Mus musculus: one gene and its partner. The protein of the gene in region 1 purifies or fractionates together with the protein of each later gene. This does not show direct contact. Links are inferred from orthologs where the notes say so. Each region holds a gene or a part of one and is shown in the gene's direction. Other genes may lie near its edges.

The links. The genes of interacting proteins can lie anywhere in the genome.
Region 2: the proteins of Pomk (region 1) and Lrp6 purify together in Homo sapiens (affinity purification with mass spectrometry; 3 studies listed by BioGRID and IntAct, counting the BioPlex papers as one, with this or other methods). This does not show direct contact. The link is inferred for Mus musculus from reciprocal best matches to the Homo sapiens genes POMK and LRP6.

Annotation. Positions count from the first base shown.
Region 1 is NC_000074.6:25,984,031-25,987,673, reverse strand, and holds part of Pomk (protein O-mannose kinase), read left to right. Parts: intron 1-33; 5' UTR 34-179; intron 180-1,141; 5' UTR 1,142-1,149; coding exon 1,150-1,428; intron 1,429-3,643. UniProt on the Homo sapiens protein: Protein O-mannose kinase that specifically mediates phosphorylation at the 6-position of an O-mannose of the trisaccharide (N-acetylgalactosamine (GalNAc)-beta-1,3-N-acetylglucosamine (GlcNAc)-beta-1,4-mannose) to generate phosphorylated O-mannosyl trisaccharide (N-acetylgalactosamine-beta-1,3-N-acetylglucosamine-beta-1,4-(phosphate-6-)mannose).
Region 2 is NC_000072.6:134,564,031-134,568,169, reverse strand, and holds the start of Lrp6 (low-density lipoprotein receptor-related protein 6 precursor), read left to right. Parts: upstream 1-1,256; 5' UTR 1,257-1,472; coding exon 1,473-1,527; intron 1,528-4,139. UniProt on the Homo sapiens protein: Component of the Wnt-Fzd-LRP5-LRP6 complex that triggers beta-catenin signaling through inducing aggregation of receptor-ligand complexes into ribosome-sized signalosomes.

The DNA of each region.
Region 1 (3,643 bases):
TTACACGTGTGTCCGTGTGCTATGTGATTGCAGTATCTCCAGAGGCCAGAAGACACCATCAGATCTCCTGGGACTGGAGTTATAGAGGTTGTGAGCTGCCATGTTGAACCAAGCAGGTCACTGAGGGACACAGGCATGTGGATGGAAACCCTGCTGGGAGAAAAAAGAAACTGCTGAAGGTAACTTTTTTTTTGTCACTATTGATGCTGGGTCCCCATGTCCCCAGCCTGAGAGTCAGCTTAGAAGATCTCTCTCCAGCACCTCCAGGGACAAGCATCCTTTGTTTGAGGGTGTATCTCAGACTTATCCCCATCCAGGCTCCTCCATCCAGGCCCCTCCATCATGGCCGCTTTGTGATGGCCTGTAGTGACCCTGTTCTGGATTTTTTAGGTCCCTACTTCCAGTGTCTCCTGAGTCATCTCTCCAGAAGATCTTGTCACAGTGATTGCCACCCACAACTTTGTCAACTGTTACCCCCCCCCATTATTGCCAGGGCCTCTGCAGATAGAGATCTTCCCCACCCTCAGGGCCTCTACACCTCCATCTTCCCCACCCCAGAGCCGCCTTGTGCACCTGCCGAAGAGCCACCTTTGCTTCTGTCTCTCAGGGCCGGGGTGCTCAGCTAGCATAACTGACGCCCTGCATTCAATCCCCTGAGCCCCAAAAGAAGAGAGCCTAAATATCTTGTTATTGCTAGATTAGGGTTTGAGACCAGGATCTTGCACATGCTGGAAACTCCATCACCAGCTTGTTCAGGGGCTTTTGGGTAACTTCCAAGGAGCACCCTAACATGTCAGCTAGCTGCAGGAGTCCCCTGTCTGCCTACACCCTTGTCTTTATTCTATCCCAGTCCGGCAAATACATATTTTGCTTATGTTTCACTAAACGTTCAGGCTATCGATTGAGTGTGGCCGAAAAAGACCAGACCTGGTCTGGATGAGCTTACTTTTAGCCTGTAATGAAGAATAACGTTTATGAGAGTCGCTCACATTTGCGGGTTCATCACACAAGCCTGCAAGTGACCCCGAAGCTGACTGAACCCATGAGTGGGTGTGGCCGCCTCCAGCCCGCCAGAGGCATCTGAGTGGAAATCCAAGCAGACAATGGTGCTTGCTACTCATTGTCTCCTGTTCTGTTGTAGGGACTGACATGGGACAGCAACATGGAACCAGGAATGGTCTCACGCATAGAGAGCTCCCCCGGGGCGTGGGGCTGCTGCTCGCCATGGCCCTTATGAACGTGGCGCTCTACCTCTGCCTTGATCAGCTTTTCATCTCCCCTGGACGATCCACCGCGGACTCTAGGCGCTGTCCTCCGGGCTACTTCAGAATGGGGCGGATGAGAAACTGCTCACGCTGGCTGTCCTGTGAAGAGCTGAGGACAGAAGTCAGGCAGCTGAAGCGCGTTGGGGAGGGAGCCGTGAAGAGAGTGAGTATTCCTGCTTGCTGCCATTGGCTGGAAGAGCCGCGCCTGCGCCTGCGCGTGCTGCGGGCAGCAGCATCGCTGGAAGAACGATGTGGCACCTGTTGCTGTACCTGGGCGTCTCAGGCAAGATGGCTGGTGGCAGGACTTTGAGGCCAACCAGGGCAGCAGAGTGAAACACTGGCTTAAAAGCAAATAGGAGAGAGCCGAAGGCCCTGTGTGTCGGTTCTTGAGCCCAGTGTTCTCAGATCTAGAACTCTGGTAGGGCTAAACCATCTGGAGGAACGGTGCCAGGTGTGTAAGTGCACTATCCTATGAGAGGCTGGAAATGATACTTTTAGGAGAGAGGCCAGGATTATAGTTCAGTTGAAAGAACGCTCGCCCCCCAACCCCCTAAAAAAAGCCGAGCGTGGTAGCGCAGGTCTTTAATCCCAGCACTCGGGAGGCAGAGGCAGGCGGATTTCTGAGTTTGAGGACAGCCAGGGCTACACAGAGAAACCCTGTCTCGAAACACAACCCCCCCCCCAAAAAAAAAAAAAAAAAAAAAAGAACGTGTGCTTCAGGGCCATTTTTGGCTATGTGGGGAATTTAAGGCTAGCCTGGGTTATAGGAGATCTTGTCCAAAAATACATATTTTCAGAAACACTATTTATTTATTATATTTTATTTATTTTATATGAGTTTATTATCTGTAACTGTTAGGTGTAGGTCGGGACTCCAGTTGGTTTCAGGAAGAAAATTCCAGGGTTGTAAGTTAATAATAAAATAAAAATTGTGGTACCTAGTGGTAGAATATACTGTCTTCAGTTGCCAGGTTTTCTAGTTCTGGGAGAAAACACAAGCAGGGTAGACAGCGTATAGAGTTAGGGCTCTGAGCCTTCAGGCCAGCACAGCAGGCCTCGGTGATGCTCTCCTGCTCTGAGACTGGACACTCACCTTTTCAGACACTCACCCTTTACCTTAGCTAATGGTCTCATGTGTTCTGAGTTAGGAGGACAGAGGGCTCCTCAGAGAGCATCCTCATCTTCTCCCTGTGCAGTCAATCTGCACAGCTCCCTGCACACATGGCTTATAGAGTGGTTCTCACCCCGCCCTTCATTCCTGGCGGGACACGAATAAGCACACATCACAGAAAGAAGTCTGTTGTCTTGACTGCCCAGCCCTCCGCAGCTGCCACCCTCTGTCTCTGTCTCTGTCTCTGTCACGGGAGAGCTCCGCTAACCCCCTCTACCTCCTGGGCTCTCTGTCACTGTCATCCTTCCCCTGTGTGACCTCCACATGCCAGGAAGCTGCTTTTAATCGATGTCACCAGCTGAGTACAAGCTGAAGACAGCCTTCCTCTTCCTTAGTCTTCGCAGCCAGCGAGCCTGGACTCAGTTGTTTCTTGCCCTTGGACTCTGGTTTTCTGGGCGTGGCCACAGGCTTCTCATCTGCAGCCCTCACTTCTGTTGGCAGTCCTTTCCTGACTTCTCTTCCCTCGTCTCAACCATAGACGACCACTTCTCCACCCACAGCAGTTTTGAGGGAGATAGCAATGTGTGCAGACACTCGTGGTTGTCACTCCTGGACGGTGGAGCTGTTACTGGCATTCAGTGTTACTGGCATTCAGTGCCAGTGTTGCCAGACTCCTTATACCACACAGGACAGGCCTGTCCCTCAATGCATAGCTGTCTGGACCGAACACAGCCGTGTTCGTGAGACTGAGAGAGCATCTTTCTGTGTCTCTAGATATAATCTAGCATCTAGACCTAGTTGAATTTTACTGCGTCAGTTTATTTGTTTGTGTTTGTTTTTTCAGGACAGGATTTCTCTGTGTAGCCCTGGCTGTCCTGAAACTCGCTCTGGAGACCAGGCTGGCCTTGGATTCAAAGATTTACCTACCTCTCCCCCCTGAATGCTGGGATTAAAAGTGTGTGCTACTGCCGCCGCCACCCAACTCTGTTGCTTTTATGTATTTAACAAACTCCCTCTAGCCTCTGTCCCTGAGTCCTAGGTCCACACAATCAACTGTTTATTTGATGTCTCTATTTGGGGTTCTCTGAACATGTCCGTATGTCCTGTGTGGAACTCTTGTTTGTTGTCCTTTTAAATTTGAGTTTCACTTTATAGCCCAGACTGTTCAAATTCATCATCCTCCTGCCTCTACTTCTTGAGTTTGGCGATTACAAGTTTGTGTCACTACAGCTGACTTGGTGTGGAATTCTGGTGATCTCCTCTGTGA
Region 2 (4,139 bases), on another chromosome or scaffold:
CTGATGGTTAACGTTTGGAGCTGGCTGGCCTAGGCTGAAGCTGGCCAGTTGACTGCAGAGGGCATTTGGGCTATTACTTGGAAATGCCCACTGCACATGTAGTGGTAGAGGTTGTTTTGGGGGCTCCTTTTTTTCTCTCAGACCTGTAACCCCTCCCCCTGAAAAGACATGTTTTATTTTCTCTTTGCTGTTAGCTACTAAGGATTTTCTCTCTCAGTTTAGAAAGCTTTAGTCCTTGTCAGCTTAGTTCACAAAAAAAGGTCTGTATTTCTTGGAAGGCAATAAACAAACAAACAAAAAACTATTGTTTTTTTTCTTTAATTTTTTTCTTAGTTTATATTTATTGTATGTAATGATGGATAAGATTCAAGCACATAATTTTCTTTTAACATGTGTGTGCCTCTTCCCCCAACATTAGCTTCACTCTTTTTCCCAGATAGTCATACTTTTATTTTCTTATCATCTATGTGTTAACTCATATATAAAGGCATTTCTACACACACACACACACACACACACACACACCCCTAGATCCACATATGAGGGAAACTTGTCTGAGTAAGGTTTACTTATGTGTATACAATCCCACAATCTTTGTCTTTTCCCCATGTGTGTGACTTTATGTGTATATGTAAAGCAGGCTCCACACTAGGAGAAAAACATACTTTTTTTTTTTTTTAAAGTCCGAGTCTGGTTTATTTTACTTCCTATGATGAGGATTCTCAACCCAGTCCACTAGCGATGTGCTCCGCGTTGGCTTCTGCACACCGTTCCCCTGGCCCGCCGCTTCGGGAAAGCGTAAGCCGCAATGGCACTTTGATTTTCCTACGTCCCGGGGCAGCCCCGGGGTCCGCAGCTCCACCTGGCTCGGCGGCCGGGCGCACAAAGAGCGGCGCGGGCGGCGACGGGCCGGGACGCAGAAAGTAGTCCCGACCACGCCGGCCCCAGTGTCGGCCGACGTCGCCTCACGCCCTCCGCCGCCCGGGGAAAGAATCCCATCGGAATGCGCCTCGGGAAGACCTTATCCCCGCAGCGTGCGGGGGCTCGCGAGGCTCAACCCGCGGGGGCTCTCCGGGGAGTCGGCGCGCGCGGCGGTCGCGGCTCCCGGGGTCCGGCCGCGGCGCGCTGAGGACGGGGGTGGGGGGAGTCGGGCGCGCAGGGAGACGGCGGCGGCCCCGCGGCGGATCCCTGCGCCGCTGCGAGAGGAAGAGGCTGAATGAGGCGCCGCGCGGGGGACGTGGGGCGCCGCGGGAGGAGGCGGCGGCATGGGGGCAGGCGCTGGCGTCGCGCGAGCCCGGGCCGGAGCGGCGCGCTAGAGCCCTGACGTGCGCCCTTTTCTTTCTTCTCGCGGCCGCGGAAAGCATGAGCGTGCAGACCCGCCGCTGCGGCGGCCGCCCCGGCTCCTCGCCCGCGCGTCCCCTGGCCGCCGGGCGCCGGTGAGGGCCGCGAGCGCGCGCGGTGGTGGGGGGAAGATGGGGGCCGTGCTGAGGAGCCTCCTGGCCTGCAGCTTCTGCGTGCTGCTGAGAGGTGAGGCGAAGCGAGGCGAGGCCGGGGGAAAAGTTGCCGGGGTCCCGGGAGGGGGAGGGGAGGTGGCGGGGACAGCGGCGGGGACAGAGGCCTGGCGCTGGGGAGCCGCGCGAGGAAGGGGCCCGCGGTCGGGGGCCGCGCCCGGCCGCCGCGCACACCCCTGGCCGGCCCCGCGGCGCCGCCGGACAAAGCTGCGGGCCTCGGGGGGACCCCTGGCCCCCCGCACTCCATCGGAATGACTGACGGTGCCCGGCTCGCCTGCACTCGGGGCAGAAAGGGGCTTTTGTAGTTGCGCTTTCAGCACCATTGGTGTTGACCTCCCTCTCCCTCGAAGCCTGAGCTCACCTTTCCCGTGTCTCTTAGGTGAACTTTTTTCTTCTTCTTTAAACCCCACTATTTTTTTTTTCCTTCTCCCCTCTCTAGGCCTTGTTACAACTAATAATTGTCTTCCGCGGGGATAGAATGGTCCTGGGTGAGAGCACAGTTGGAAATTGACTCTAGGGTGATAGGTCGCGCTTTTCAGCATTCGGGATCATCTGAGCCCATAATAAAAACACAAACGTTGCCCTCGTAACCCCTGGTATTCAGGACTCGCCCCCTGTTTGCGGAGTGTGCAAGTGTACAGTTGGCACCAAGTAGGGAAGTCATCCTTGTGTGGCGAGGAGCCTATCCTGGGAACTAAATTATCATTTGCTGGGCACCCCTGGGAACTGCTTGGCACTTTAGTAAATAACAGAGAATGCCCTGGGTAATTTGCTATGGGAATCGCTTAAACGTAGTGGCTCTGTGGTGTTTTGAATTTGGACTGTGAGGCTGAGACGTACGTCCTGACTTTTTGTTGTGTGACAGTTTGCAATGGAAACCTTGTCGACTGGTCTTCAGTTGATGAGCGATGGGGGCTGGTGCCATGGAGAGTGTTGCCTGTGCAAGAATTGAGGTGCTGTTTGACGCCGTATCTTGTTGTTCGCTTTTGTTAACTTACCTGTGCCAGTTAATGGGACCTCTCTGGGATTCTTAGTTATTAATTTAACAAGCTCAACGTTTAAGTCCGTCAGAAGTATGGAAGTTTGCAAAGTAGGATAGTAACTAACAATCTTATGATGTAAATGGGACAGCCTATCATCTATGCATGTGTGTATTTGAATAAGACTATTTGCCTTAAAACCCCCCCACCATTTTCTAAAAATAAGCGTATCCCGAATTGTCTAGTCCTTTTTGCAAATACCAGAAAGATAATTGCTGTTTTAATTTCCATGGCAGAGAACTCAATGTTATTACTCAAGAGATTTAATAATCAAGTGTTTATTTTGTTATAGTAAACTCTACATTGAAAGATTTTGCTGTAGCTGTGAGAAAGTTGTTATTAACATGTGAATATGATTGACAAGTTCATAAGAGTTAAAATGTAGAACTAGTGGATTGATTTAGAGTTGGGAAAGTCTAAATCTGTGACTTCTGATGGCTTTAGCGCCTGAAAGTCCAGCTGCCATTCTTAGAGGGGACATAGGACTGTTTGTTTATTTTGATAACAGGTTTGAGCCTAGAGTTGAGTAGATTCATGCATGAGTTTGGTTTAGAGATGGTGAAGCATGATATTGTGTGTAACAAGATCAAGAAGAGGTAACTGTCCGAAGTGGAGCTTATTTAAATGTAATACAATAATGCTAAGGAGGTCTTTGTTTTTCTGTTTAGCATTATTTAATTGTGAGCATATATCATTCCAACTGAAACTGTCTTTTTGGTGTAAACGATTCCTAATTTAAAGTTTCTTCACTTCTTGGCACTGTTAGCCTCTGTTATAAGTGACAGTCACCCTTGGTTTCCCAGGAGCAAAGTGTGATTTAATTACTTGTAGTTCCCAGAAGAGGTGGTACTTTTACTTTGGGTTTGTGATGATGTGTGACTTTGGGACTTTGTACCTTATAGCCTTGTTTACTCACCAGCAGTTGAAGGTCATTTAATACTGCCATCGCTAGGCTGCACCCTGTCCTAGTTACCAAGTGACAAAGAATATTGGGAAAAACTTGAAAGTTGAGGATTTTAGCACCATAGACTTGAGTTTAAAGCTAGATCTTCATTATTTCTGCTTCTGGTTCTCTCTGTCTCAGCTTATCTATAAAACATGGGTAATAATACCTGTCTGGCTGATTTGCAAGGGTTATTAGGTGTGTTTAATGAAGTAACATAGGAGTGCTTTCCAAATATTAATTAAAAAGTTTTAAAGACAGGATCTTTCTATGCTGCCCAGGCTGACCTCCAAGTGCAACTCAACTCTTCTCCTTTCCCAACCTCCTGAGTGTGGGGGTCACAGGCATGCCTCCCCATATATGGCTATAAATAGTGTTATTTTTATATGTGAAAATTTTTTTTTATTATTTATGGATGTGTCCTCAATTGTTGGTGATTAGAGATTTAATTTGTTTAAGATTCAAGAGTGCTTAAAGTAGATGATATTGTTGTCATTTGTAAGAAGTTGGGGCACAAAAAAAAAGTTGGGGCACTCTCTGTCAGCTAGTTCATTGTAGAGCAGGGCTTTTCTCCGTTCTCTGGCCAGTGTGCCTGGAGTAGCTCCTGTGTGAATCTCAGTTCCTCAGGGCGGCTGGAGTAAGGCA